Cricetulus griseus: one gene and its partners. The protein of the gene in region 5 purifies or fractionates together with the protein of the main gene of each other region. This does not show direct contact. Links are inferred from orthologs where the notes say so. Each region holds a gene or a part of one and is shown on either strand. Other genes may lie near its edges.

Region 1 (5,644 bases), on a different chromosome or scaffold from region 5:
AGAAATTCTTCACTTAGGAGAAATTCACACAGACATTACATAGTCATTTAAAAAAGCAGACAAAAAAAACTAAATAGTTTAACAAAACATTTATACCAGGTTTTTTCTAAAAAGCAGAAAATTCCTTATGTAATAAAACTTCAACTGTAGGAAAACAAAAACCCATATTGAAAGGAAATACACAAAGGGCTTATTGAGAGGGTTATACAGTCTTGAGATTGGTTTTATGTTTATTTCTTAGTTTGCCAAAATAATCAAAATGACAACGACAAGAACAGTAGTGATCCGTGAAGTACTCACTACATGTAGGCCAGGTTATGAGAGCTTATTGTACTAACTCACTTAGTTCTCTGAACATAATCAGACAAAAAACAGAGACATTGTAACTTGCTTCAAGTTACACTGAGAATTACAAAGGGCCTTAAAGTGTCTTTTCCTGATGTCCACCCCACACAGGATAGCTCTATCTTACTTCATGAAGTCAACCATTAGAAAGGCACCCATTGATTCCAACTGTATGGTCTTCACAGCAACAGCAACCAGTTTCCTCTGAGTTCAAATAGTTCCACTGTCACTGACTGTCTTTTGGAAATAAGATGTGGCCACCATTCTGGGATCTATTTCAGAAAAATCTGAAGGCAGACACATGTGGTAGAGCATGCTTTGAATCCCAGGACTGGGGGTAGGAGTTGGGAGTTGAGGCAGGTGGATCTCTGTGGGTCTGAGACCAGCCTGGTCTACAGAGTGAGTGAGACCTTTTCTCAAAAGACAAACAAACAAACAAACAAACAAAAACAAAGAAATTCCAAGACAAAACTCCATCTGCATTTCCTGTTTCAATATTTCATTTGATCATTGAGACATTTAAAAGCTAACATTCTTACTTATTATACCACCTGACAGTACTTCCAAGAACACTCCCTGGACATCTCAGAACCACACAATCAAATGCACTTTTCAAACCTGTCTTCTCTAACCTCTACCTACTTCATCACAAACCACCCTCTCTCACAACCATCTGTCCTACTGTGAATTCACCCCCTCTCTGACCTGCCAGACCCTGGCTAACACTAGGCAAGTTGGCCCTCATCTTGTGAGAAATTTCACTCACTCCAACCCTCCCTTTTTCGAAAGGGCATTGTTCTCCATGATTTTGAAAACCTCATTAGTTATTCATATTCTAGTTCAGCTTTCTCAACCTTTGCAAGTAAGACAGTATGGGAAAGGGTGGGAGAGGGAGGAGGGATGAGCCTTTTGAGACAGGTGTAGCCCTGGTGTAGCCCTGGCTGTCCTGATCTGGCTCTGTAGACCAGGCTGACCTAGAACTGGGAGATCCACCTGCCTCTGCCTTCTGAGTGCTGGGATTAAAGGTGTACACCATAGCCCTGTGTACCACATTCTTTATATCTGGCAAAGAAAAGCAATCCCCATTGCTCTGCACTCCTCTTTTCTGTTTATACTGGTTAAATTTACTTCATGTGTAACTTGATTTCGCTTCCCTTATAACCTGACTTCTTTTCCTAAAAAAATGCTTGCAAAACCCAATATGGTTAGCAAATACAAGAAATTCCTTTAAATATACTTTGTTCACATTTCAACGTAATTTATTCAATTTTTAAGAAAACTGAATGCACACAATCACTTTAACATTATATAAATAAGGAAAAATCAGTCATGAAAACAATGACTATAACAAATATAGATAATGAAATACTCACAGCTAGGATAATATTTTTTACCCTGCCCCCAAATCTATTCTGTTTATATTATGTAATGAAAAGGCTTCTAGGAATGGAGGAAGACGTACAAAAAATATTTGTTATAAGTCTTTCAATGGGAGGAATTCAGTATCCTGACTGGGGAGGTGATGGAAGCACATGAAAGCTAATGGAAGGTGGAGGGCCCTTTTCAGAAAAGGAAAATGAAACACTCATACCCAACAGGCTTATATTGACTCAAGTGAAAACAGTGTTGCCAAACCACTATTCACCCACACCCAAGTGTCAAGGATTTTAAAAGAAATCCGAACCTCTAAACTAGTATTTTCCCTTTGCAGTTCCAAGTTTTCACCCAGGACAGCCATTCTCTAGAGCAACTGGGACGCAGGGTAGGGGGTAGAAACCATAACCTCTCCCCAAAGCCCAAATCCTCCTACTTCATCAAGTACACTTTCTTATCACTCTTAAATGAAAAAATTCGATAAGGAGACTTAAAATCCAGCAGGTACTTTTGGGATCCTAATGATGAATACGTCTGAAAGGGCATATTCCAGACAAGTCGGTTCCAAACACTGATTTCACCAAACACTTGGCACTTAAGCATCTTTTTTTTTCCCGGGGGGTGGAGGGGGAGCACTGCTTACGTACTCACTGAAGCCATTACTGTTTTACAGCAGGACAAACTAAGCGGCTTCATACAACCTTCCCAATTAGTGGAGAACCTCCAACTTCGTTTCTACAGTTACCGCTGCTGATTTGCGATTGGCATACCAAAGTGAAACTGTAAACAATCCCTGCAAAACCCACGTGATTAAAAAATTAAACAACGCGAGATCATTTCTAAGAGGAAGAAAGCCTTTCTAAAACCAGTTTGATTGTGGTGGCGGGTCTGTGCCTCGGCGGCCGTTCCCCGTGGCGTGTACGGACAGGGCAGGGACAGACGTGCAAACCCCACAAACCGAAGCAAAACCCGTAGTTACAAACATTAAAACGATGTAAACACGTCGCCAGGCCAGCAGGCCCTCGGGGGAGACGGCTGCAGAAACCGAGGTGTGTGAGCTCCGGGACAAAGACCGGCGACCTCGGGCCCTCGCACGATGCGGCCTGACAGGCACCGCACCAGCCCGCCCCGGCAGCCGCCCTCCCGCCTCCCCGGGGGCGCCACCCGCCTCGTCCGGGTCCCGCAGGGCGCCCGGGGCGGCAGCTGTTGGGCTTAGAACCGCGCCGTCGCCGGCGGGCTCCAAACGGCCGGGCCGGGTCCAGGAGAGCGGGCAGCCGAGCTCCGTCGCCTCGGCACGGCGGCGGGTCGGAGCTCGCTCGGCCGCTTCCGCCCCTCCGCCCCGGCCACGCACCCTCACGCCACCTACCCGGTCCCACACCATCCCAGAGGCCTCCGGCGCTCGGGCCTTCTGCCGAAGCGGCGCTGCCTCCCGTCCGGGGCCTGAAATGGCTGCGGAACAAAGAGAATCTGGGCTCGGGCGAGCGCCGGTCCGATTGGCCGGGGGGCGGAGCCCGGCGCGGGAATCTTCGGCGGCGGTCGCCTTGGCAACGGCGGCGGGGCTGGGAAAACCGCGACCTGGGCCCGCGGGCCTGAGGGCCTGCGTCGGGCGGCGCCCGGCAGCGGTTTCCCGAGAGGACCCCGGGGTCGCGGCCTCGGCCCCGCGCCCGCCTCACACGCCCTCGCGCCCGCCGCGACCCCGCAGGCCCAGCCCGAGAGGGTGAACGCCTAGATGCAGGGCCCTTCCAGGAGGTGACGTGCCCGGGCCACACTCGTGTCTCCCCGCTACAGCCCCCGAGTGGCAGCCGAGCCCCGGGAGCCTCTGCGACACCAAACGCCTCCTATGCCACAGTCGAACAGTGACAGCTTCCCCAGTACTAGGCAGATGGATGTGGGCGGACCGCTACCCGCTTGGTACCAGACGGGCTTCTGAGATGTGCTGATCTAGCACTGTATAAACCAAATGAAACTATTTAGAAAATTAAATTAATTCTCTAGGTATGTATCTAATATAAAACTAGTCTGAGCTTGAAAATAATTAGCTCTTCTCGATTTATACAGCAACCATGAGAAAAGTACTGTAATTTCAAAGTGAAAATGTTTTTAAAATGGGAGAGGTAGACATTTTAAAACCCAATTGTCATGATAGTAACGAAGGGATACGGATTGTTCTCCTTCCCTGCCTGATTATTTTTACACAAATTTACTCTGTATGAATATTGTAAATAAGGAGCATAGCAAGGTGCTCCTTATTTCCTAAGGTGAGTTGTCAGTGAGAATTATCCGTACACTAGCATTTTTAACTGCCTTAGTGTCACATACTTTCTGTTTAGGCAATGTTTGCTCTTCATCACTTTATACATAAAGTTATAGTACCTAATTTTAGAAAATGTTAAATATTTATTAAGATGGCTTATTTATTAAGAAACTTAGGAATCTTCTATTGTAATACTCATTACAATTAGTTTAACTCAAACTTTTAGACTAAAAGATGATTTTATTATCAGAAAGATGAACATAGAAGAGGAAATATTTAAAATAACTAAAACATGGCTGGGTGTGGTGGTGCATACCTATAATCCCAGCACTCTGGAAACAGAAGCAGGCTGATTACTGAGTTCCAGGACAGTCTGGTCTTCAGAGAGAGTTCCAGGACAGCCAGGACTACACAGAGAAACCTAGTCTAAAAAAAAAATCAAGTAACTAAAATATGCATATCAACATCTTATAAAGTTAACTTAGACGTTGGAAGGAGGTTTCTAAGAGGAAATATGTTCCTAAGAAAAACAATGTAATGAAAACCTTTCTCCAGAGCTGTTTGGTGTCTCCAAGGAAATTTACTGCAGGGAAAATGCAAACAAGTCTTATTTTTGTACTTAAAAGATTGCATTGTAGAATAGGGACTTGTATAAGATTGTGGTAATTGAATTTTACATCCCTGGAGTTTAAAAAATAAAATAAATTGTGTTTAAATCTAAAAGATTAGGGGCTGGAGACGATTCAGTGGGTTAAGAACCCTTGTTTTTTCCAGAGGAACTGCATTCTATTCCTGAACTCACATGGTAGATCATAACTTCATAACTCCAGTTCCAGGGGATCCAATGCCCTCTTCTGACCTCCTCAGACACCAGGCATACACATAGTGCACAGACATACATGTCAGCAAAACACTCATACACATAAATAAATCTAAAACTAATCAGAAAGATTAGCAATTAATGACAGTTATAAAACCTACCAAGCTTGTAAGTGCGTACAGAGAATTCGAAAGAATTCTAATTTTGCTTGAAATGATACATTTTTTTTCTTAGTAAAATAAAATAAAAAAAAACCTACCAAGCAATTAACATGGATTCACCTAGATAATACTTTGGGAATAAATGAAATTAATTGGAAGGGAGGAGGGATTGATTATTCATTCATATATGTAAGAAGATTTATTCCCTCAAAATCTTAAAAAATATTTGGTTATCAGATGTTATAAGATTGACATGAGATAAATCAAGAATCTATTCTTTCATAGCATTGAATTAAAAACATTACTGTAAAGTGGTTCTGGGTAGCCAGGCGTGGTGGCCAACACCTTTAATCCCAGCACTTGGGAGGCTGAGACAGGCAGATCTCTGTGAGTTCAAGACCAGCCTGGTCTACAAGAGCTAGTTCCAGGACAGCCTCCAAGCTACACAGAGAAACCCTGTCTCTAGAAACCAAACCAAACCAAAAAATTAATTAAATAAAGTGCATTCACATTTTTAAAAAATTGGTTCTGGGTAGATGTTTATCTAGGTGGTCTTTGTTTCTATCTTTTAGCCTAAATTAAAAATGTGTTTTAAATAATAACTCTTATCCATCATTAAAGCTTATTAGCATGGCTTATTTAATTTTCTTTCCTGTTATTTCATTTGCCCTTTGTGCATATGATAATGCC
Region 2 (5,647 bases), on a different chromosome or scaffold from region 5:
ATTGCTCAGTGGGTGAGCGCTCTTACTGGGTGAGGATGAGGGTATGAGTTTCACTGCCCAGCACCCAAATAAAAAAATAGGGACATGGATGCACATGGCTGTAAACCCAGCTTTAGGAGCAGATATGCAGATCTCCGGAGCTCAACTGCCAGCCAGCTAGTCTAGCTAACAAGCAAAAACAGCTTCAATGAGACCCTTTCTCAAGGAAGCTGAAAAATCATGTGCTTGCAATCCCAATATATATACCCCACACACATAAAAATTAGTAAAATTAAAAGGCTACCACAAGCAACAAAGGTTTTTGTTGTTGTTTTTGCAGGGGTGTTTTTACTTTTTTTTTTTTTTAGTTCCCTTTGGCATATGTCAATTCTAGATAAAAGTCAAGGTATATAACATTACATGACAACCACCAAAAAATACATAATGCAAGAAAAAACACATAATACAAGGACTGGGGACATAGTCCCATAGCAGAGCACAAACCCAGTATGTGTAAGTCTAGGAAATGGATCCCTGGCCCCAAGAAAATAAAATAAAATGTGCATAATAGCCTGGCATAGTGAGACACATTTTTATTCCCAGAACTTTCAAGGCAAAGGCAGGTGGGTATCTGTGACTTTGAGTCCAACTTCTCTACAAAGTTCTAAGGGTGCTGAGTCTACAGAGAGACCCTGTCTCAAAAAGAAAGAAAAAAAGCATAATCCAAATATTTGATTTCAAGTAATATCTTTATTCTCATTACTTTACTGGAGGTTTTTCAGGGTTGATTTTGTCAGGCTCTTTGTAAAATTGTGTGTGCGGTCAACTCCAGGCCTCTGGCATGCTACACTCCTGCCCCATACTAGGCTTTGCTATGCTAGTATTATTGGCACAAGCTACTAGCTCTTACTTTTTTTTGTTTGTTTGTTTTTGTTTTTTTTTTGTTGTTGTTGTTGTTTGAGACAGGGTTTCTCTGTGTAGCTTTGGAGCCTCTCCTGGCACTCGCTCTGGAGAGCAGGCTGGCCTCGAACTCACAGAGGTCTGCCTGCCTCTGCCTCCCAAGTGCTGGGATTAAAGGCCTGCGCCACCAACGCCCGGCCCTAGCTCTTACTCTTTATAGTCAATGAGTAACAATTTGATTCCCTACGACTAAGATTTCAAGAGCTATGCCATCTTCTTCCAGTGATTTCTGAATGAGAGAGATGGTTCAGCAGTTAAGAGCACTTGCTGCTTTTGAAGAAGACCCATGTTTGGTTCCCAGCACCCGTAGTGCAGCTCAAACCCTTTGCAAGTTCAGTTTCAAAGGATCTAAATCCCTCTCTGCCCTCTGTAAGCACCAGGCACGATCATGATGCATTACATATATTCAGGCAAAACACTCACATTCATAAAAAATAAGCAAAATATGTTTAAGAAACAAGCTATTCTGAAAATACTGTGCTCTTCCATGCTTTCATCTATACTAGGAAAAGTTAACATCTAGTTCAAAGTTACTGTAAATTTGTTTTATTTTACTTCCTCTCAGACCTCCATCTTATTTTAAATCACCCATCCAAAAACATTACATAAAAAGGTAACAAAAAATAAGTTATTTCACCAAAATTACAGACAAATCACTCTCAGTTTCCTTTCAAAATTTAGACCTTGTAAACTTTAAAACGGAGGTGTGAGGGCTGGAGAGATGGTTCAGAGGATAAGAGCACCGCCTGCTCTTCCAGAAGTCCTGAGTTCAATTCCCAGCAACCACATGGTGGCTCACAATCATCTGCAATGAGATCTAGTGCCCTCTCTGACCTGCAGGCATACATGTAGGCAGAACACTGTATAATAAATAATTCTTTAAAAAAAAAAAGTTAAAACATTAAAAAAAAAAAAACAATGGAGGCGTGACAGTACATGTCTTTAATTCCAGAATTTCACGAGTCAGGGGCAGGTGGATCTCTAAGTTCAAAGACAGCCTGGTCTACATGTGAGTTCTAGGAGGAATATGTAAAGGGACCCTGTCTCAGAATTTGTATGAGTCAATCAGGCATGCTGTTGTTCCTAAAACCCCAGCACTTGAGAGGCTGAGGGAAGACAGTTCTGAATTCAAGACAACCATGGGCAATGTATCCAGTGCTAGTCCAGCCATGACTACATAGTGAGCCTTGTCTCAAAAACAAAGAAAAGGCAACAAAGCAACAAGAACGTGGGAATATCATCTAGGGTGATGGAAATCCTGGCACCCAAGAAGCCAGGACAAGCACAAAGACAGCCTACCAAGCAAAACCCATCCTCAAAAAAAAAAAAAAAAAAGGGGGGGGGGGAGAGTGACAGGGAGGTGGGATTTGAAGGAACTGTTTTAAGGGGAAAAAAAAAGGATAGATGTTAGTGTTTCACACAGAATTTCAAAAGCATTTCTCCGTTGTTGATTCTGATACTAGTTTACCAAACCGAAGTTTAAGCCTTAAAAAGAAAATCAATTCATTTGAAACTTTTCATTGCCAAGAGGATCGCACGCATTCAACCCTCTCCTTCTTTCTTGCCGACATCCCTGACTTCAGTCGCCCTCCAGTTTTCTGCTCCCACTGCGAGCTTCAGCTAACGCTTGGCGGTTTCCCTCGCATCACCGCTCACACAGACGACCAAGTTGTCATTGCTATAATTACCACACCCCCGTCAGCAGCTCCAGGCCCGCGTAGTTATGACATCTGTAAACTGCAGCCTCCCGTCTCCACCCCCACCGCCTCCCTCCAAACACCGGCCCGGGCGGTAACCTGCCAACTCCCGGAACGGCCCCGCACGCCTGGGCCTCGGCCACCGCACCCCGCGACACCCGCCTCCGCCCCCGCCCTCAGCCTAGCGCGGCGCGCAGACTCCGCGCCGCCGCCCGGCGCCCCGCAGTCCCCGACGCCGCTTCCACCGCCGCCCCGCCCCGACCGGCGTTCCCCACCCCCACCCCGCTCCTCCGCCGCCGCCGCCGCCGCGCGGGCCGTTAGAACCGCCAGTCCCGTGACGCACCGGAGCGACGCGAAGGTCCGGTCCCCGGCGCGACAGCGACAGCTCCCGGCCGGCGCCCGCGTCCGCCTTCGCCCCGGGGCCTCCCTCGGGTCCCCGGAGGGAACCAGAGCCGCCCGCCGAGGGGGAGGGGCCGCGGGGAAGCCCCCCACTCACCGGCTCCAGGCGACCGGTCCCGGTGCCGCCGTGAGGGTGAGACGCTCGCTTCTTGTCGGCCCGCTGCGCCTCTTCCGCGCACAACCTTGACCGGCCGGCGCGCACCACGGCGGCGCTCACCAGGCCTCGCTCTCGCCGCCGCCCGCGCCGCCGCCGCGCCGCCGCCGCGCACCGAGCCGCGAGACCCAGCTCAGCCGGCGTGCGCAGTGCGCCTGCGTGCGGGGGCCGGCCTGCGCGCCTGCGTGCGCCTTTCCGCCGCCCGCCGCAGGGGCTGCCGGGAAGCGGAGTCTCTGAAGCGTTCTTTCCCGAGTGGACGCGGCCAGGGCGTGGGTCTCTGAGAACGAGGTTTGCAGTCCGGAAAAGTAAAGACACGTACAAGTTATGGAGACAAACGTGTCCTTACTAAGCTCTTCTAGAATGGACGGATACCGCCCTCCCCACACACCTCACATCTCCATAGCCACCCTCTCACATGGTAGGTGCCTCACACACCGAGCGCGCTTATTGGATGAACGATGGCATGGTTGGAGGCTGAGGGAGTATCGCGAAATACGTCAGTGCCTCACGTTCAAAGAATTCACACGCCACTCGTTTGTGGGAACCTTCTGGGTATTCTCTTCGGCTCTCTCCCATTTTGCCTAGTAATTTATTAGTCCCATAAAACATTAACAAAATAATTTTTGAGCCTGGATCGTTAGCACACCACTCAGCACTGGGACGGCTGAGGCAGGAGAATGGCAAGTTCTAGACCGGCATGACTACTACGTAGGAACACCTTGGCTCGATGATGTTAATTTTTAGTAAAAACATTGGCATTGATCTGAGTAAGTTCTCTCAAACAAAATGTTTAGGAAAATGATTGTTTTTCTTTCTGGAGAGTAGGGTTGTGGCTTCAAAAGAACACCTTAAGCAAGCCAAGCAGAGGTCACTGAAGAATTTCACACACAGGACATGGTTTAACGAGTCTGTTTAAAAGGAATACTGAAGAGCAACAGACGGCGTCAACACCCTTATAAATGTAAGAAAGAGGGAGACAAAGGACCACACTGACTGAATCCTAGGTAAAGCAATGGTCGTTTGTCTTGGCTCCAGTGGCGGTTTTAATAACCTTAACACAAACTAGAGTCACCTGGTAAGAGGGACCCTGAATGGGAGACTGGTTCCCATCAGATTGGCCTGTGGGCATGTCTGTGAGGCATTTTCCTAACTCATGATGTGCCCAGCCCACTGTGGACAGTGCCACCCTTGGGCTGTATAAGATAGTAAGCTGAGAATGATAGAGTAACCACATTTCCTCCATGGTCTGTTTCAGTTACTGCCTCCAGGATCCTGCTTTGAATTCCTGCCCTGGCTCCTCTTAGAGATGTAAGCTGGAATGCCTGCCTCCAAGTTGCTTTGGTTAGTGTGCAATCACAGCAATAGAAAGCAAACTAGAACAACTCCCTCCCTCCCTCCATCCTTCCCTCAAACTTGACTCCCTTCTGCATCATCGTGTTTATTTATTACAATCAGAACTAAGTTTGAGCAAGGCAGCTGGAAAAAGAAAGTGCTCTGTCAGAGAGACTTAGGGCCAATGTGCTGTCTACTTTTATGTCAGCTTGACACAAGCTAGAGTCATCTGAAAGGAGCGAACCTCAATTGAGTAAAATTGAACCTCCAAAAGATCCAGCTATAAGGCATTTTCTTAATTTGTGATTGATGGGGGAGAGCCTAGCTCATGGGGGCAGTGCCATCCCTGGCATGGTGGTCCTGGGTTCTATAAGAAAGCAGGTTGAAGGCCGGACATTGGTGGCGCACACCTTTAATCACGCCTTTAATCCCAGCACTCGGGAGGCAGGGACAGGCAGATCTCTGTGAGTTTGAGGCCAGCCTGGTCTCCATATTGAGTGCCAGGATAGGCTCCAAAGCTACACAGAGAAACCCTGTCTCAAAAAACAAAAACAAAAAACAAAAACAAAAAAAGAAAGAAAGAAAGCAGGTTGAAGCCAGGTGTAATGGTGCATGTCTTTAACCCAGCACTCAGGAGGTAGAGGCAGATGGATCTCAGTGAGTTCGAGTTCAACCTGATCCACAGACCTAGTTCCAGGACAGCCATGGCTACACAGAGAAACCCTGTTTCAAAAACAAACAAAAAGAAAGCAGGCTGAATAAGCCCTACTCAGCAATCCTGTAAGCAGCACTCCTCCATGGCCTCTTCATCAGCCCTGCCCTGTTGGGGGTTCCTGCCCTGGCTTCCTTCAGTGATGCACTTAGATGTGGAAATGTAAGCCAAATAAATCCTTTCCTCCCCTACTTGCTCTTTGGTCATAGTGTTTCATTGTAGCTATAGAAACCCTAACCTGACCAAAGCTGAGTTGATGTCTGATCCTTATTGGGAGCTAAGTCTTCATGGAGGCTGGTTTATTCTCTAATCCACCTAGGTAAGTATGGTCCTTAAGAGTCCCAACCAAAAGTCACAGGTATCCATCTCTTTTCAACCCCATGAGACAGCCAAAGCTCTACTCAGTGTCTTAGC
Region 3 (3,760 bases), about 66 Mb from region 5:
TAAAGGTATGTGTCACTATATCATACGTGGACTTTTTTTGGTGGGGGGAAGGGTGGTTTTCAAGACAGGGTTTCTCTGTGGCTTTGGAGGCTGTCCTGAAACTAGCTCTTGTAGACCAGGCTGGTCTCGATCTCAGAGATCCCTGCCTCTGCCTCCCAAGTACTGGGATTAAAGGAAAAGGAGTGCGCCACCACCGCCCGGCTCATATGTGGAATTTTTATACATGAATATATAATCATTCTGAGGATAGAATGGGAGTGGGTAGGCAGTAGTGGGACCGTAGTTAGCCTGGAAACACTCAAGAAGATGGGATAATGATAGCTAGCCTGAGATGCCATGAATCTGTCTTGGAGATTGCTGGCACTTCCCACAGCAGCCAGTCAAGAGGATAAAATGAAATCTCTGCCTCTATACCCCCAGGGCCCCTTACTGGGGTTTACAGAACAACATCCATGGGCAGTGTTTGTGAAAGGACCAACTATGGTGAAACTGGAAACAATCAGGAAATCATAGACTCAGGCTCACTGACTCAATACTGAGATTACAGCCAGTGTAATCACCATATTTGGTAGCAGTGACAATTTACTGATAGCTCAGAAAGCCACACAAACATCTTACTCACTAAAACACTTTTAAGATTCATCCATTATTGATAGGTGTGGTGTCCTTTAACTCCAGGACTTAGGAGGCAGGTGGATATGAGTCTGAGGTTAACCTGTCTACAATAGTGAATTCCAGATCATCCAGTTACATAGTAAGACCCTATCTCCATGTTTGTTGTTGTTTGTTTTAATCAATGTAGAAAGTGAGGAACATTCCCCATGAGTTACCAGCTGTCACCTTTCATGAGTTAAGAGCCTCTATATTTGTTTCTCAGTCACATAGTAAGTCAATAAAATCTGACATTCAGTTTGCTAAGTAGGTACGTCCCTCTGGCTTTGACCTAAAGAGAGATCAACATCCCAGAGGATCTTTAGTGTACCAAATCCAGAGTCACAGTGACTCCAAAGACAGATTAGAGCAATCTTGAAAAACACTGTTTTCCTTAATTTTTTGAAATTAAAATATAATTAAATTATTTTTCCTTTCCCATGCCCCCTCCAACACCTCCATGCTCCCCTGCACTCAAATTCATGGCCTCTTTTAGTTGTTGACCTAAATATATAAGCACAACCTGCTCGGTCCACAAAATATTATTTGTATGTATATTATTTAAAGGTTGACATTGGATAACGAACTAGGGGGAGGGAGTGGCAATCTGTTTTGGTTTTCAAGTCCAGACCTTGCTATGCTGTCCAGACTGGCTTTGAACTCAGTATCTTCCTGTCTCAGGCTCTAGTGTTGGGATTACAGGTACATGTCACCAAACTTGACTCAACCTTACAATCCTCAAAACAGACATACTATGCACAAGGAGGCAGTGCCAGAGAAAAACTGCATGCCTCACTGGACCAAGGGAGACTGGAGAAAGGGCAGAAACACAGAAACAAGGGTGACTTCAAGTAGAAAATGAGAAGAAAATATCTTACAACTGAAAGAAAATCAGGGTTATGCCCCATTTTATATTATAGCTCCCAAATAAAGCATTGAAAAAATACCTGGCTGCCACAGATGAAATTATATAAACTTTTAAACTGATTAAAACTTACTTTTTTGGCATCAAAATTTTTATAAGCAAATATTTATAAAATTTTAGAAGCAACAATTTCTACAAATGTCATATCTGTCCCTGAACATAATACTCATAATTTGCTTTTAGAACAAACTCAAAGTAAGGATTGGATTTCAGGCTTCCCAGCTGGTCTGCTTGAAGTAGGTCCTTCACCTCTGGCAAGTATTCGCTGAGCTGGATGCCTGCAAACAAAACACAGTCACTTATGATTTCAGAGATTCCCCAGTGAATGAGAGGCTGGCGCCAGTCACTAACATGCCCCATACTGGAGCCTCCTCCTAATCACAGTGCCGTAGGTCTGACAACAGCTTCTTCAGTGCCACCTGCAGGCTCTCACTGGTCAAAGCAGCCACTTCAGGTGAGGTCTGCAATAGTCTGCAATTGTCATTTTCTACACTTAATTCCAGCACTCAGCACTCTGAAGGCAGAGGCAGGCAGATCTCTGTGAGTTCAAGGCCAGCCTGGTCTACAAAGCGAGTGCCAGGATAGGCTCCAAAGCTACACAGAGAAACCCTGTCTTGAAAAAAAAAAAATCAAAAGACATTCTTTCAATGCAGAAGTTTTCAACTAATAGTCATTTCTGTGTTACCCTAACTGGGGAATAATATAATAGAAATACTGTCACAGAGCTGGCCACAATACCATAAAGGTATCAGTTTAATGTGGATGGCTGTCCTTCCAGTGCTCAGGATGCTGAGGGAGGGAATCCCTTGAACCTGAAAGCCCAAGACCAGTCTGGACAGCACAGTAAGACAGTCCCAAAGAAATAAAAACGCACATACAGCAGCATTTCAACTGAGTCAGAGACTAGAAGGATAATGGGGTCAGGAAAGCCAGGAAGCACCAATCAATGGACTATTGAAGCCACAGCAATTACATTTAACCTCACTTGACCAAGAAAATGGAACGAAAACTTTTAAATGAATAAGATCATATAATTTGTTGTATGAATATCAGATTGTCTGGTTTTAAGGAAGATAATCCTGGGGGGGGAGTACTTGTCCAGTAAAAATATTCTTGAAGCATCCAGCACCATCTTTTTGAATTTTTTATAATGATAAATTGAATAATTCTGCACCATCAAAAAACAAGGGTCTACTGAGCAACTATGTACCAGGTAGGGGTAGGTATGTTTTATGTAGATTAAATGATACATCTTGCATACATAAGCAGAGCAAATGTTGGGGTCATGTGAATGCCATCCCAGTAAATACCATTCATATTCACTCTGCAGGATCACTGGACTTAGGATACATGTCACTGTATGTTCTTCAAATATAGCCCTGAATCTAAAAGATCTGCCAGAGGTAGGTTGGTTGGGCTGCATACTGCCTGGACCTGGCATGCTGGGTTTTGATCTAATGGATTTTTTTTTTTAATTTACTTAATTTTTATTTTATGTGCATTGGTGTGAAGGTGTCAGAACCATTGAAACTGGAGTTACAGACAACTGTGAGCTGCCATGTGGGTGCTGGGAATTGAACCCAGGTCCTCTGGAAGAACAGCCAGTGCTCTTAACTGCTGAGCCATCTCTTAAGCCATCTTTTGTTTTTTTAAAGATAGAATTTCTCTGTATAGCCATGGTTGTCCTGGAACTTGCTCTGTATACCAGGCTGGCCTTGAACTCAGAGAGATCTGCTTCCCAAGAGCTGAGATTAAAGGTATGTATATACCACCACCCAGTGTTTTGATCTAGTAATTCTATAAGAATCATACTTTTTGTATGTTTGTTTTGTTTTTTATTTTCCAAGACAGGGTTTCTCTGTATGACAGGCCTGGCTGCACCTTAACCCTGGTCCCCCAGAGCAGAGTAGAAAAGTAGCTTCACTGAGAACAAGCTGTACTATGTCATGTTGGCAACATCCAGTTCCCGTGGTATCCCAAATCAAAAACAAGATTTCGTTTCTTTCTTTCTTTCTTTCTTTCTTTCTTTCTTTCTTTCTTTCTTTCTTTCTTTCTTTTTTTTTGGGGGGGGGTGAGACAGTGTTTTTCTGTGTTTGAGACAATGTAACAGCCCCTGGCTGTCCTGGAACTCCCCTAGTAGATCAGGCTGGCCTCAAACTTGGAGATCCGCCTGTTTCTGCCTCC
Region 4 (5,760 bases), on a different chromosome or scaffold from region 5:
TTGGTGTTTTGCTTGCATGTATGTCTGTGTGAGGGTGTTGGATCCCCTGGAATTGGAGAACTGGAATTATAGACAGTTGTGAGCTGCCATCTGGGTGCTGGAAATTGATCCTGGGTCCTCTGAAAGAGCAGGCAATGCTCTTATCTCTGAGCCATCTCTTTTCTGCCCCCATCCGAATCCCTGAAAAGTATTTCTCTTTGTAGTCCTGGCTATCCTGGAACTCACTATGTAGATCAAGCTGGTCTCGAACTCACAGAGATCCACCTGCCTCTGCCTTCTGAGTGCTGGGATTAAAGGCGGTGTACACTTGTATTATTGAAGTTTTGCCTGGTGGTGGTTTCACACACCTTTGGGGGAATCTTTGTGAGTTGGAGGCCAGTGTGGTCTACAAAGTGAGTTCCAGGGCAGCCAGGGTTACACAGAGAAACCTCGTCTAAAATAAATAAATAGAGAAACCCTGTCTCAACCCCCCCCCAAAATAATATAAAATAAATAAATAAAATTCCAAAACAACAAACCAAACAGAATTAATGAAGTTTTAAAGAAAGTGTAAGGTGAAAATAGGCACTTAATAAGCCATTTGTTACCATATTTGCTGCTTTGTCTTTTTATTTCCCAAGTAATCTGAACATTTGACATACAACTAGATAAAGTGGAACATCTCTGTAATCCCAGAATTGGTGCTGAGGTAAGATTGCAACAGGTTCAAGGCTAGCCCCGGCTCTATTGTTGAGACCCTGTCTCACTCCTAGTCCCCGTAATAAAAATTAAATAATCGCTGGGCATTGGTGGCACACGCCTTTAATCCCAGCACTCGGGAGGAAGAGACAGGTGGATCTCTGTGAGTTTGAGGTCAGACTGCTCTACAGGCAGATCTCTGTGAGTTCAAAGCCAGCCTGGTCTACAAGAGCAAGTTACAGGACAGACTCCAAAGCCACAGAGAAACCGTGTCTCGAAAAACCAAAATAAATAAACAAATAAATAAATAATCAATAAACAGTAAAAACAACAACATAATAATAGGGGGCTAGAGAGATTGCTCAGAGGTTAAGAGCACCAACTACTCTTCCAGAGGTCCTGAGTTCAATTCCCAGCAACCATATGGTGGCTCACAACCATCCATTATGAGATCTGGTGCCCTCTTCTTGTGTGCAGGATCATATGCAGACATAAAGCTGTATACATAATAATAAATCTTAAAAAAACAACATAATAATTAATACACTACACACAATGATTATTAAAAGAGCCACACAGATCTGCTTCACTCCTTTCTCCCAGTGACCAGCCCCTGCTAAACCTCTGGTGTTTCGATGAGGAAAAAAAATGAAAATCAATGTATTTATGTTAAGCATTTGTTATTATTTTGGTGGGTCCTTTTTCAGACGGGGTCTCACCATGTAACCCTGGCTGGCCTCACTATGTAGACAAGCTCGCCTTGAACTCACAGCAATCCTCCTGCCTCTGCCTACGCCAATTACGCCAGGCTAAACTTTTATTTTTTAAGATAACGCGTCTAATAATAATTCCGTGTATTTGCTTAAGGGCAGGCCCCAGAGAGAGCAAACAGGGCTCTGCCCAGCGTCCCGCCTAGGCAGAGACGACACACACCCTTCAGCGTCGCGCGCCGAGCTCCGGGATCACCACTCTTGCAAGGCACTCTGGGATTGTCCGGCCGCTCCCTCATCTCGCGATGCTACCCTCCCCTCCACCCCACCCCCACCTCCTCCCTCCCCCAGGCCCGGCGTCCGTGCCCCCCCCAACGTGTTTTTCAAATCCGCCAATGAACGCACAGCTTAGGCTCAAACCAGCCAATCGGGATGCGGCGTCACCGGGAAATTTAAATCGCGCCGGCCGGCAGCACGAGGCACAAAGTCTGAGGGCTGAGGCGCAGTGGACGTTTCGAGGGCCGCCGACCCCGCAGGCTGAGAGCCCCGCACCGCCTTTCGTGGACGCCTGAGCCGGCTGAGCAGGTGGGAGCCGCGGCCGGGCCTGGACGGTAACGGCCGGCCGGAACGCGGAGCGGGCGGGAAGGCGGGAGCAGGCCGCGCCGGGCGTGTGCTGGGCCTCCGTGCCCAGACGAGGCCGCGGGGCGGGGTGGTTCCGCCGTGCCGGTGCCGGTGCCAGGCCTGGCCGCACCGGTCGCTGCGGAGGGCGGCGCAGGCCCCGCGAGGGGCGGCGTCGGGGACACCGGCCGCAGACGAGCGCACCCGGCTGCCTCTCCGCCGCTTTCCCGCCGCTTCTGCCCGGGGAGGGTCGGGGCTGTGGGCTGGAGCGGAGGCGGAGGCGGAGTGGTGGCAGTTAGGACTCCCCCGTGAGACGCTTGAGCCGGGCCGCCGGCGCCAGCCTCGGGGAGGAAGTTCCCGAGGTTTTCGCCTCGGTAGCAGATTGTCACATTGTGGCGATCACGCCTGCGATAGAAAGTCGAGCCCCAGACAGTGTCCACGGCTGGTGTCACTCGAATTGAATGCACAGACCGGAAAGCCTGTCCTGTCCAGGGCGTGCGGGACGCTGAAGACGCGGTGCCAATGTCACTGCTGACAGCGAGGGTTGTGGAAGGCTCTGTAACGCAACCAGCCAAGTCGCTGTGTAACCTGATGGAAGGTGCCTGATGTATGTGTATGCATTCGGGCCATGAATCAACAGAAAAAGACCAGAAGTGCCTTTATTGCCTTAAGGAGGTAGATTGTTAACTAAAAACCAGGCGGGGTGCCCCTAGTCGGTGTCCAGAATGTGGAGCCCCGGCTTAATACCGCGCTGGCCAGAGGCTTTAGGTCATTGAGTTTGTGAAAAGCCGATAATCTGAGTTGAGATGCTCTGCGTGCATAAACTACACATAGGATTCTGAAGGTGTATTAAAACGGTGAAACATGTTTATTTTTCTATGTTAATTTCATTTGTTGCTTTTTAGCCTTTTAAAAATGTGGTTAGTGGAAAATTTAAATGTTTGATTAAAAACCTGTTTCTGATTGACAGCTGCGTTGCCAGAAGTTTAATCCCTTTGCAGGAGGAGCACTTAACCACTGGACTTAATGCTGTAGCCATAAAACTGAAAGCTTGTGGGTTTTTCTTGTCTAGCATACAGATGGAGTCAATATATAGTTGATTTTTATTTTATTTATTTATTTGGTTTTTCGAGACAGGGTTTCTCTGTAGCTTTGCAGCCTATCTTGGCACTTGCTCTGGAGACCAGGCTGGCCTGGAACTCACAGAGATCGGCCTGTCTCTGCCGAGTGCTGGGATTAAAGGCGAGTGCTGGGATTAAAGGCGTGCGCCACCCACGCTCGGCTTTGATTTTTATATTCTAGTTGGCCTTAAACTCAAGAGACCCGCCTTCCTCTGCCTCCCTGGTGCTATGATTAAAGGCGAATGTTAGTATGCCCCGCCTGGCTTCTGCTGTATTCTTATTTAAAAAGTGCTCTTTTTTTTCTCACCCTCCCTTGTCTACTAGCTTTCTCCCGGATTCCTGTAACCATGTCCACCAACGAGAATGCTAATTCACCAGCTGCCCGGCTTAACAGATTCAAGAACAAGGGGAAAGACAGTACAGTGAGTACCTTCTGTCGACACTTTTAAATGGAAATAAGAAGGGGTGTTTATATAACACATTTTAGGGATTGAATCCAGTGCCTTACTGATGTTAGATGGGTTCTTTATTCCTGAGTTTTATCTCTAGTCTTATTTATTGTGTGTCTGTGCATACCTGGTGCAAATGCAGAGGTGAGAATGACAGCTTGCAGGCAATGGTTCCCTCCTCCGCCTGACTCTGCAGGATTGAAGTCCTGAGACTTGGTGGCAGGTGCCTTTTAGACAATGAGCCATCTCTTGCTGACCTTTGAGGGGTTTAAAGAAATGACTTGTCAGGAAAAGCTTATAGATAAAATGAGGTGTTGTGTTGTCTTTTCCTCAGGAAATGCGGCGCCGCCGAATAGAAGTTAATGTGGAACTGAGGAAAGCGAAGAAAGATGACCAGATGCTGAAAAGGAGAAATGTCAGCTCATTTCCCGACGATGCTACTTCTCCTTTGCAGGAAAACCGAAACAATCAGGTACATACCTAGACAGTGCTCTCCCTCCCTGTATAACTGCTGTGGCTGTCCTGGAACTCTGCAGAGATCTGCCTGCCTTTGCTTCCTGATTGCTGGGATTAGAGGCTTGTGCTCCCCCCAAAAAAGAATAAATGTCTCTTAGAAATTAGAATTTTTTTTTTGAGGGGGATTGGTTTCTAGACAAAATTTCTTTGTGTGGCCTTGGCTTTGTCAACCAGGCTGGCCTTGGACTCAGATCCACCAGCCTTTTTGCCTTAGGAGTACTGGGATAAAAGGCATGAGCCACCACTGCTGGCTAAATGTAAAAATTCTTGGACATGCCTGGTAATCTACTTTTGACTGTTGAATGTATGACAATTCTTTGTTTTTTTTAAGATTTTTAGTTTTTTAAGAAGTGTATTTGTGTTTGTGTCTGAGTATGTGCAGGAGGCCAGAGAGGTTATGTCCCCTAAACTGGAGTTACAGGCAGGTATAAGCCACCTAATAATGTGGGTGCTGTGGATTGCATTTGGTCCCCTGCAGGATCAATGCATAGCCCCTGGGGAAAAAGATCCGCCCCCATGTTCCCCACAGGGTTTCTGTGTAGCCTTGGCTGTGGCTGTCCTAGAACTCACTCTGTAGACCAGGCTGCCTCTGCCTCCAGAGTGCTAGGGTTAAAGGCGTGCACTACCCTAGTGATGACCTGCCAGGAGTAAGGCAATGTTGGGCACTTACTAGCTTTTTGGTTTTTCAGGATAGGGTCTTTGTGTGGCTTTGGATCCTCTCCTGGCACTCACTCTGTAGAGCAGGTTGGCCTCGAACTCACAGAGATCTGCCTGCCTCTGCTTCCCAAGTGCTGGGACTAAAGGAGCGTGCCACCACTGCCCAGCCAGTATTTTTTCCTTTCTTTTTAACATTTGATCTCTTTTACTATTCTATGTCTTAGATGTTTCTGCTTATTTTAATTTTAATCTCAAAGTAAAAAGGTAATTGTTTTTTAATTAATATATTGTTGGGTCTGAGACATCCTTTTCTTCCAAACTTGTTTTCTGAGACAGGATCTCATTATGTAGCTCTGGCTGTCCTAGAACTCATGTAGGCCAGACTGGCCTCAAATTCACAGAGATCTGCCTGCCTTTACCTCCTGATTGCTGGGGTTAAAAAGCATGGGCCTCTATGCATGGCTGCAAACTTATTTGTTATTTTGTGAATGTTTATACATGTATAAAATGAATAGTAGTCCTTTTCACGCTGTTTCCTGGTCTCATCCCATCTTATGAAACCCCTTTTCTCAACAAGTCTTCCTTGTTTTTCCTGTCTGTTTTATATACTGGAGGAACTTTGTCAGTGGCTATACCCCTGAAGGAAGTTCACCCCTTTCCCCAGCTGTCATTAACTGTCAGTAGTCCCCCAAGAAGGGGTGGGACTTTGAGTCCTTCCCCTTCCACGATGAAGAAATAAAATGGCCTAATCTTCTAAAGTTATTTCAAATTGTAATGAGTGTTAGTGTTTTAGTTAGGTTTCTCTGTTGCTGTGATAAAACACTGCCAAAAACAACTTGGGTGGGGGAAGGGTATACTTGGCTTACAGGTTATAGTCCATTAACCAAAGAAGTAAATGCGAATGCAAGAGCATTGCTTATTGGCTTAGTCTCAGGCTTGCTCTGTGTTTTGTTTTATTTTGTTTTGAGACAGTCTTACTGTATTCCTGGCTGGCCTGGAACTCACTGTGTA
Region 5 (5,091 bases):
GTGTGAGTCCTCAGGGATCGGAACTGTGGTCCTTTTGCTTGTTTGCAAGTACTTGAACCATTAAACCATCATACCAGCCCCAAATTTTAAACAAACTGGGAATAGTTCAAACTTGAATTTAGGAATAACCTCACTACTGAACAAGGTTAAAAGCAAGATGTTCATTTGCAATGTTAAACGAAATCTGAGAAGTCTGTCCTATTTATAAACAATTAAAGGCTTCCTTTCTGTTTTTATGTGTTTGGGTGGGGATAAAGTAACATGTTCATCAGTTTCCCCATTGCTTTTAGGTTCAGTATCTGCCTCAAGCAGCAGCCCTGTGTCTGCCTCTCCGTCTTCTGGAGGCTGTCTAGGATTGGATAAGTTCAAAAAACCCGAGGGAAGCTGGGACTGTGAAGTGTGTCTAGTGCAAAATAAACCAGACTCTACCAAGTGCATAGCATGTGAAAGTGGAAAGCCAGGCACAAAGTCAGAGTTTAAAGGTAAGGTGTTGGTGAAGAAATCCTCTAATGCCTGGTTAAAAGTGAAGTGTGTATGCGGGGGCAGATTTGTTTGTTTGTTTGAGACAGGATTTCTTGGTGTAACAATCCTGGCTGTCCTGGGTCTCACTTTGTAGACCAGGCTGGCCTTGAACTCACTGAGATCCGCCTGCCTCTGCCTCCCCAAGTGCTGGGATTAAAGGCATGTGCCACCACCTCCCAGGCCTATTTGTTTTTGTAAGGTACCTATCCACTGAGTAATTATGTAAAATGAGACATGGTCCTTGTTTTTTTGTTGTTGTTGTTATTTATGGATGACACCAACATTAGTTGCATATCAGCGTCTTATGCCATCTGTGTATCTGGGTAAAGAACTTTGTGTTACCCAGTTTCCAGATTTGGGTATGAACTTACACCCTTAGGACTTTACTGTAAGTCATTTAGCCTCTGAGTATGTCTGGGTAACAGAGAACTCTAAGCAGACATGGTGACATAACCATGTACTCCAGCATTTGCATCATCCAAAAGCCCTGCCTTACTCAGTGGACAGTGTATGTTATTTTACATACCCTGTCTCTGGTATTCTGACACCAAGTGTCAGCTGTGGTCCTTTCCTTTTCCTGGGATATGAATTCATAATTGTTTCTCTTGTTCATGGCTGATACCTTTCCCATTGATTTCGTTACTGCACATGCCCAGTAGTCACATTCCAAAGCCACTGGGCCACTTGAGTGCATCAGCTTCGCTGTTGAGTAACCTAGCAGTGAGACTTGGAGCGCTTCCTGCAGATGACTGACTGTTGAGTATTTACATGGACCATGGTCATATCCAAAGGAAAAATGCTTTTATATTTATTGATTATTTTATTGAACTATATGTAAAATGGGTATCAATAAATGTATTTACTCCCAAAACAAAACCTAGCCTTCTTTTTGGTTTTTCGAGACAGGGTTTCTCTGTGGCTTTGGAGGCTGTCCTGGAACTAGCTCTTGTAGACCAGGCTGGTCTCGAACTCAATAGAGATCCGCCTGCCTCTGCCTCCCGAGTGCTGGGATTAAAGGCGTGTACTACCAACGCCCGGCTAAGCCTAGCCTTCTTAGTACATGAAAGTACAGGAAGAACTTCACATGGTCATTGAATATATGAAGGCTGGCGTTTCATTTGCGGTACTTCCATGTAGATTTTATAGTCAAAGCTGTACAAAGCTTAGGAAAGAAGACATATTTTAGAAATTTTAGACCTGAATATCAGGGAATTTCTGAACAGAGTTAGCCTCCAAAATGGGAATACAGAGGGATTTCTTTCTCTCTCTCTTTCTTTCTTTCTTTCTTTCTTTCTTTCTTTCTTTCTTTCTTTCTTTCTTTCTTTCTTTCTTTCTTTCTTTAAGATTTTATTTATTTATTATGTATACAACATTCTGTCTCCACATATACCTGCACACCAGAAGAGGGCACAAGAACTCATTATGGATGGTTGTGAGCCACCATGTGGTTTCTGGGAATTGAACTCAGGACCTCTGGAAGAGTAGCCAGTGCTCTTAACTTCTGAGCTGTTTCTCCAGCCCCTACAGAGGGATTTCTATATGCTAGGCTTTATTTTAAAATTTACCAGAGTCTTATGTTGCTTTCAAACATTGCAAATCAAAAGTCAAAGTTTTGATCCATAACACCCACTTTATGTTCGTCTGCATGATTGGTTTGGCTGTTCTTTCATTTCCAGGCGAGTAATGTGTGGCTTATCTGTTTTGCGTCTAATTAGTAGTCCTTGTTTGGAGTCAGTCAAGTACTTCATGCTCAATTTCTGCTGCAAGAGAAAAGCTCCAAGGAAATAGATTTTGGTCTTAATCACTGTAATGATGTTTATCTTTATAAATATGGCTTCATTTCATATCTTTTTAATGCTAAATATTTTTAAATGCTTTTGTCAACAACATAATCAAAATATTTAAAAATTGAGATCAAGGGTCTCCTGTTTCTACTGGCTCTCTTTTCAATTTTTTTGTCTCTCTACAAAGGTAAGAGGCACGGCTAGTTTATCACTATACCTTCCAAAAGTGCTTTACACCTGTCCTAAGCAAACACATTGCCATTCTAGACCCTCCCTCCCTTCCTCCCTCCCTTCCTCCCTTCCTTTGTTTCTAGACAGAGTTTCTTTGTGTAGCTTTGGAGCCTGTCCTGGAACTCACTTAGTAGACCAGGCTGGCCTCGAACTCACAGAGATTGACCTGCTAATGCCTCCTGAGTGCTGGGATTAAAGGCGTGCACCACCACTTCCCGACTCTTCCTTGTTTCTTGTCAGAAATTATCACCCACCTTTTCTGTTTGCCTCAGTTTTTACAAAGGATATAAGTAAAGGATAAAAGGTTTTTATCCTTTTGGCATGTTTTTGACTTTTAATCCTTCATTGATAACTGCCTGGATCTCATAGCATTTTGTGTGTCTGAATTTATCATAAGACAAATCCCAGCTATAAAATTGCTGAGGCTCAGAGGATATATGATTTAGGTTTTTGTGGGTTCTTTTTTTTTTTTTTTTGTAATCATTGATAGAACTATATATATCTCAATACTTTGGATGCTGCTGTAGCCCTAGCTACAGGATAGGGAAGTGCCTACTTCTCCCAAGTATACACGCCTATCATCTTTCTTGACCTTCCAGTCTTACAGTTGGAAGTGGCATATAGGCCTTTTCAGGGGTTGTATTTGTTAGGGTAAGCACATTAATTTGGTGTTTTTTTTTTGTCTGTGTGTTTTCTATCTTTGAAGGCTTTGGGACATCTTCATCTTTAAATCCAGCACCCTCAACCTTCAAATTTGGTATTCCATCGTCCTCCTCTGGACTTTCTCAGACTTTTGCAAGCACTGGAAATTTTAAATTTGGAGATCAGGGAGGATTCAAGTTAGGAGCTTCATCTGACTCTGGGTCTACAAACACCATGAATACAAACTTTAAATTTTCTAAACCAACTGCAGGTTTTAAATTTGGAGTGTCTTCTGATTCTAAACCTGAAGAAATTAAAAATGACAGCAAGAATGATAATTTTAAGTTTGGACTTTATTCTGGCTTAAGCAACCCAGCTTCTTCAGCTCCATTTCAGTTTGGGGTATCTACTCTTGGGCAGCAAGAAAAGAAAGAGGAGCTCCCTAGGTCGTCATATGTAGGCTTTAGCTTTGGTGCAGGTGTTAGCAACCCCACCACGGCTGCTACTGATACCACAGTGACCTTGGAGAACAAGAGTGGCTTCAACTTTGGAACTATAGAAACTAAGAGTGTCTCAGTGACTCCTTTCACATATAAGACAACAGAAGCAAAGAAAGATGATTCTTCTGCCACCAAAGGTGGATTCACATTTGGTAAAGTGGAGTCTGCCTCTTTGCCATCTGCCTCAGTGTTTGCTTTGGGAAGGACAGAGGAGAAACAGCAAGAACCTGTTACTTCTACTTCTCTGGTTTTTGGAAAGAAAGCCGACAATGAGGAGTCAAAGTCTCAACCAGTGTTTTCCTTTGGAAATTCAGAGCAAACCAAAGATGAGAGTTCTTCCAAGCCGACATTCAGTTTCAGTGTGGCAAAACCATCTGTGAAAGAGTCTGATCAGTTAGCCAAGGCCACTTTTTCGTTTGGGAATCAAACCAATACTACAACTGGTAAGTACTTAATGGCTTTATTTATTTATTGTTTATAAGTTGTATTTGATACCTTGACAATACAGGAAGTCAACAAATGACTGTCAGAAAATAATGGAGAATATTGGTTTTTGAAATCTTGAGGAGGGCTGGAAAGATGGCTCAGAGGTTAAGAGCATGTCTGCTCTTCCAGAGGTCCTGAGTTCAACTCCCAGCAACCACATGGTGGCTCACAACCATCTCTAGTGAGATCTGGTGCCCTCTTCTGGCTTGCAGGCATACATGCAGACACAGTACTGTATACAAAATAAATAAATCTTTAAAAAAAGTCTTGAGGAAAGAGCTCATGCTTTTCTGTTTTAATTGAACCAAATACCCATGGTTGGAATGGGATACCTACAGATCTAATTTTGAGAAATACAGCTGTAATTGAATGTGCAGAATGGGGCACATTATATATGTCTTAATGTCATTTGGACACCTTATAGTTGATGCATGCTGTCAGGGAAAAATCTTATGTTGAATTTTAGTTTACAAACAATTACCGATAATGAGTGAAAGTGAGGAACATAGAGAGTAAATATAGTTTAACTCTAAGAAATCAGGTAATTTGGGGAACTAGAAGGGGATACAAAAGCCCATTAAAAAGCTAAAGAAGGAAAAAAACTAGAGAAGGTTGTTGAAGTAAAGCCTTTTGCTTATGGAATAGTAGAAAGAGCATCATCTAGCTCATTATTGTAATGGGGTTTCCCAGAGCAGTGTTAAGGATGGACAGCTGCATCTGTAAGTGACTTTGAAATTGAATGATATAGGGAAACACTAAAACATTGACATAATGGTTCCTGTGTATAAAATAAGACACTGAGACTGGAGAGAAGGGCTCGGTAGCCATGCATGCTGTTCTTTAAAGATGATACAAGTTTGGTTCCCTGTGCTCATTTCAGGTGGCTCAAAACCACCAGTAGTACACACCACACACAGAGTTAAAAT
Region 6 (4,651 bases), on a different chromosome or scaffold from region 5:
TATAGCTCAGGCTGCTTAGCTCTCACTGTCTTCCTGCCTCAGCCTCTCCAGCACTGGCATTGCAGGTGGGAACCATGACCAGCTAGGCATCAGATCTTGCATTTAATTGATGTCTGGTCTTCAGAAAATGAAGTGTTAGTAACCTCACCACTCTGACGTGACATGAATGGCCCATGCAGAACCATGGCTCTCTTCCAAACAGACACACTCAATATCTCATCCTTAAAAAAATAAAAATAAAAATGAGTTTTTCAGATGCCAAGTAACATGCTGCTGTCTGAAGCTACAGACCAAACTGTCGGCTTCCCACTCCCACACTCTTGCTTCTCATGAATGCATGGTTCCTGAGGACTCCATTCAGGCTGTGCCCGTAGGGCTCACCAGGGCAGCAACGGCCATGAGCACACATCCCTTTTCAGCACGGCTTCACTTTTATCTTAAAATAAAGGCTTGTTTGTGGTATAGAAATGATATAAAAAAGCTACCAAATTTGTGCTTCTAAAGTCCATTCTTCCTGACAGCCCCTTCCACATTAACTGAGAGGGTAAAATAAGAGCACCTCCTGGATAAAAATGACAAACCCAGTCTACATCGCCAGCTCCCCCACGAACCACTCATGTCCTTTTCATGAAAAGGCAGTTTTTGGATCAGTCAAGCAGCCCCAGGTCAAAGGCCAGCACCTGCCAAAAGGCTGACGCCCAACAGAGACACCCAACACAAACAATTCAGTGCAGTCACAGTGTGGTGGCATGGTGTTTGGCAGGAGTGCTAGTCATGGGTCAGACAAGCCCACAGGAGGGGAGCAAATGGGTGTCTTCTGGGGTGCCGTGGGACACTGCCATGGGGTCTCCCGAGGCAGGCAGGAAGGCGGAGCCCACACTGCCTGAAGGAGCCTTGGAGAGCTAACTGGTACCCTGATTGCAGTCCATTAAGAATCACTTAGGTTAGTTTACTCAATGAATCAACATTAAAAAATCTTCCCAAATTTTGACTTCAATGTATTTGTTTAGTCCTCAGGAAGGAGAAGAGCTGATACACCCAGAGGTTTTATTGGCCTTAATCTTCCTCATAGAAGTTCCCATTACCTAAAAGTTCTCAGAATGTCACAATAAGAAGAGGAAAGAATGTGACTAAGTTTAGGGTGCAGAGGGGAAGCAGCAATGTGGCAACATTCCTTGGTCAGCCTCAGTGCTCAGGCATCCTTTTTCTGCAGTAAAATCTTGTGTAACTCATCTGCATCCTCACCCGTCTTCACCCGAATCAGCATGGTGGCCGGGACTGTGGGCTGCTTTTCATCCAGTGGGGGATTGGGGACACAGACGATGAGGACATTGTTTTTCCCTGTTCGGGTGCACGGCATATTGGGTGGAATCAGAACATTCAGCAGTATGTTGCCTTTGAGTAAACAAAGGAAAATTAATTATCAAAACAACACATAAAAATATATAAAATAAATATCAAAACTGTAGAATTCTTTAAGAGGCTAAAGAGTCAACATTAAAGCAACTCTCAGTGTGTTAAAGGTTATAGCCACAAAGGCTTTCTTTATGCTGGAGAGGAGCCAGGGGTTGGCAGGCACTAAGGGAGATGTACACACCCCGAAGTCTCCAAGGCGGAGCCTTGTTCAGATTGTTACTGGCTAACCCTGACCTTTACCATTTCTTGGGACTTAAGGGGTCAGCAAAGGACAGTTTTTCTCACCAGACTTCCCCCTAGGCAAGAGTGACATTAGAGTGACACTGTCAAAGTCAAGTCATAGGAAAGAGAACCCTAGAAGTCTTGCAGTGATGCCTGGCAGTCTTCCACTACTGACCACACATCACAGGCCCACTGCTGTCAGAGCTATTCTTTTAATGGACTATTGCAAGGGTTGGCTGGAGTGGGGCAGAGGGGACAGCAGCGTGGTATTCTTGTTCTATAAACAAATGTTCTCTAGGGCTGGAGATGGCCCCATTGCTAAGCATGTAACACAAGGACCTGAATTCAAATCTTCAGAACCCATGTAAAAAATTAGGGACAGCAGTACATTCCTGTAACCCCACCTTAAAGAAGGGGTGGGGTGGGATGTAGGAGTGAGGGCTGTGGCACAAACAAGTGGATCCCTGACTTGCTGGCTGGCCAGCCAGCCAAGCTGATCAATAGCTTCAGGTTTAGTGAGATCCTATTCCAAAAATAAGGTAGAGATCAGCTAAAGAATGAGACCTAATAACCTTGGGCCTCCATGTACCAACTCCCCTCCCACAAAGACCCCCTTAAACTCTGCTCACCAAACCATCCCACATGCACGCTGCTCTTCTGCCACATTCCAACATACGGAAAGAAACCCTTTGCGGTACTTTTTTGTGCAGCTTTGGAGCCTATCCTGGCATTCCCTCTGGAGACCAGGCTGGCCTCGAACTCACAGAGATCCGCCTACCTCTGCCTCCTGAATGCTGGGATCAAAGGCGTGCACCACCAACGCCCGGCTCCACTATAGCTTTTAACAATACACCTACACTGTGTACACAATGTTCTTGATACTCAAATCACATCCATATTAGTAACCAGAATATAAATTTGACCTCATGATCACTATAAGACAAAACAAACCCCTATTATTGAGCTTCAAAATCCAAAGAACTGCAGGGTCAAGACAAAGCTCTCTGTATGAACCGTGATGGCTCTGTACCCACCTAGGTTGGTGTCTGCCCGCACCAAGAGCTGAGTCTTCTGATTGGCTGTGGGTTTTAAATGTAGGGTCCCCACACCCTTCTCTTTAAATTCATTGTCTTTCTTGTAAAATAGTTTACACCTGTGGGAAAAACAACAGACACGATCAGACACTCAACAAGAATGTTTGCTGACCATCTTCTGTGAATCAACTGCAGTGGGTGGGTAAGAGGATAATAAATCTTTACCAGATTGATGGTATCTACCTGGGTTCAAAAACCAGAGTAGGATAATCTAGTTAGATATTCTAGAATCTAACCCCACCCCCCATGCCTTTCTTTGTAGTGCTGGACATGGAATCCAGGATTGTGGGCACTGAGGCAAACTTTGCTAGTGAGGAACAATCACAGTCCCTTACAAACCCTTTAACACCTGAGACCATCTTTCCTCTCAGGTGACCCACTTCTTGCTGCCCTCTCAGGTGCCCTGGTCCTGAGTAGCAAAACAGACTGGCCCTTTAAGGACAGGCACAGACCAAGCAGTCTTGCATCTCCCTCACCCAGCTTTTCCCCTAATAATTTTTTTCAAATTCTCTTTAGGCCTTACATTTTTGATCCCCTAAGATATTGAGATAAATCTGGAATAAGGTGTGACTCTGGATAAAGTAGGGCACTGTTTTCCAAGCCTATATGTTAACAGAAGCCCCTAAAATACAGCTAGCACTCCAGGGGTGGGGGCAGGTGGGTCTTGAATTCAAAGTCAGCCAGAGCTGCACAATTAAACCCCAACTCAAAACAAACACAAACAACAAAAACCACAAAATTAAGCTGGACTGTAGTGGTGAACACCTTTAATCCCAGCACTAGGAGGAAGATGCAGGTGGATCTCTATGAGTTCAAGGCCAGCTTGGTCTACAGAGGGAGTCCCAGAGCTACACAGAGAAACCCTGTCTCGAAAAACAAAAAAAAACAAGCTTGCTCATTTGACTTGCTCCAATGAAGAAGCCCACACAACAAAACAAAACTGGAAAGTCAGGATCTTCCCTATGTGTCACTTGTATTATTAAAATTAAAATTGTTACTGCCCAAAAAGTTCTTGAAATAAAACAAGAACTCCATGGCCCATGGCATCTGCAACATAGGAAAGACTCTAATGTCTGTTATAAAAACATTACCGGAAGCTTCGTTTTCAGGATAAATGCTTCCCAGTAAATATCTCAGTACAATTAATTCCTAACAGAATTTAAATTTCCCTTCCAGCCTTGTTCACAGAGAGGCAGCTCAGACCAGCAGAGGAGAGGCAGGTTCATACATCCTTAACAGGAAGGAACAGCTGTGCCTAACTTTTTGGCTGTGGTTGCCCAGCCACAGAAAGGCCCACCCCATCCTAGGGACCACAGCCACCTCCATGTTTACAGCAGAAGGTGATTTTTTTTTTTTTTTTTTTTTTTTGTGAGAGAAGGAGAAAAAAGGAGAGCGAGAAGAAGGTCATGAAGTATGTTTCTAAAGCACTTCACGGGGAGAGAAGCAGCTCGCTTTACAGAGGAGCTAGGATGTGCCCAGCACATCTTTAGAATTGGCTTGTTTTAAAAATAAACAGGCCAAGCTGGGTGATGGTGGCACATGCCTTTAATGCCAGCACTGGGGAGGCAGAGGCCAGCCTGGTCTACAAAGTAAGTTTCACAACAGCCAGGACTACACAGAAACTCTTGTCTAGAAAAAAAACAAAAATAACCAAATAGGCCAATCATCCTTCCATGTTGCAGCTCAGTTGACTGGAGCCAGATCTGTGGGACACTTTCCCCTGCAACTCCCACAGGCCCACTCACTTTTTGGAGTAGAAAGCATCCTCCTCCTTCACTTCAGTAACTACCACCTTGGGTGGCTCATCATTCTCTTCTTCTTCATCGCCGCCACCTGTCACAGAAACAGCTAAGTTAGCAGAAGCCTGCTCCTCACCACCCTGAACATCACCCAGGAATACCCCACAGAAGCTGGTAAAT

What was found.
Region 1: the proteins of Nup153 (region 5) and Tnpo1 purify together in Homo sapiens (co-immunoprecipitation; 3 studies listed by BioGRID and IntAct, with this or other methods). This does not show direct contact. The link is inferred for Cricetulus griseus from reciprocal best matches to the Homo sapiens genes NUP153 and TNPO1.
Region 2: the proteins of Nup153 (region 5) and importin subunit alpha-5 purify together in Homo sapiens (affinity purification with mass spectrometry; 3 studies listed by BioGRID and IntAct, with this or other methods). This does not show direct contact. The link is inferred for Cricetulus griseus from reciprocal best matches to the Homo sapiens genes NUP153 and KPNA1.
Region 3: the proteins of Nup153 (region 5) and Nup133 purify together in Homo sapiens (co-immunoprecipitation; 3 studies listed by BioGRID and IntAct, with this or other methods). This does not show direct contact. The link is inferred for Cricetulus griseus from reciprocal best matches to the Homo sapiens genes NUP153 and NUP133.
Region 4: the proteins of Nup153 (region 5) and Kpna2 purify together in Homo sapiens (co-immunoprecipitation; 4 studies listed by BioGRID and IntAct, counting the BioPlex papers as one, with this or other methods). This does not show direct contact. The link is inferred for Cricetulus griseus from reciprocal best matches to the Homo sapiens genes NUP153 and KPNA2.
Region 6: the proteins of Nup153 (region 5) and Nup50 purify together in Homo sapiens (affinity purification with mass spectrometry; 8 studies listed by BioGRID and IntAct, counting the BioPlex papers as one, with this or other methods). This does not show direct contact. The link is inferred for Cricetulus griseus from reciprocal best matches to the Homo sapiens genes NUP153 and NUP50.

Annotation. Positions count from the first base shown.
Region 1 is NC_048595.1:317,694,886-317,700,529, forward strand, and holds the start of Tnpo1 (transportin-1), read right to left. Parts: upstream 3,236-5,644; 5' UTR 3,101-3,235; coding exon 3,086-3,100; intron 1-3,085. UniProt on the Homo sapiens protein: Functions in nuclear protein import as nuclear transport receptor. Serves as receptor for nuclear localization signals (NLS) in cargo substrates.
Region 2 is NC_048597.1:53,690,603-53,696,249, forward strand, and holds the start of importin subunit alpha-5, read right to left. Parts: upstream 3,291-5,647; 5' UTR 3,133-3,290; intron 1-3,132. UniProt on the Homo sapiens protein: Functions in nuclear protein import as an adapter protein for nuclear receptor KPNB1. Binds specifically and directly to substrates containing either a simple or bipartite NLS motif.
Region 3 is NC_048596.1:200,581,000-200,584,759, forward strand, and holds the end of Nup133 (nuclear pore complex protein Nup133), read right to left. Parts: intron 1,855-3,760; coding exon 1,718-1,854; 3' UTR 1,025-1,717; downstream 1-1,024. UniProt on the Homo sapiens protein: Involved in poly(A)+ RNA transport. Involved in nephrogenesis.
Region 4 is NC_048600.1:119,947,206-119,952,965, reverse strand, and holds the start of Kpna2 (importin subunit alpha-1), read left to right. Parts: upstream 1-1,833; 5' UTR 1,834-1,973; intron 1,974-3,451; 5' UTR 3,452-3,474; coding exon 3,475-3,549; intron 3,550-3,910; coding exon 3,911-4,048; intron 4,049-5,760.
Region 5 is NC_048596.1:266,384,678-266,389,768, reverse strand, and holds part of Nup153 (nuclear pore complex protein Nup153), read left to right. Parts: intron 1-290; coding exon 291-482; intron 483-3,243; coding exon 3,244-4,122; intron 4,123-5,091. UniProt on the Homo sapiens protein: Component of the nuclear pore complex (NPC), a complex required for the trafficking across the nuclear envelope. Functions as a scaffolding element in the nuclear phase of the NPC essential for normal nucleocytoplasmic transport of proteins and mRNAs.
Region 6 is NC_048595.1:381,781,624-381,786,274, reverse strand, and holds part of Nup50 (nuclear pore complex protein Nup50), read right to left. Parts: intron 4,566-4,651; coding exon 4,478-4,565; intron 2,792-4,477; coding exon 2,673-2,791; intron 1,396-2,672; coding exon 1,193-1,395; 3' UTR 1-1,192. UniProt on the Homo sapiens protein: Component of the nuclear pore complex that has a direct role in nuclear protein import. Actively displaces NLSs from importin-alpha, and facilitates disassembly of the importin-alpha:beta-cargo complex and importin recycling.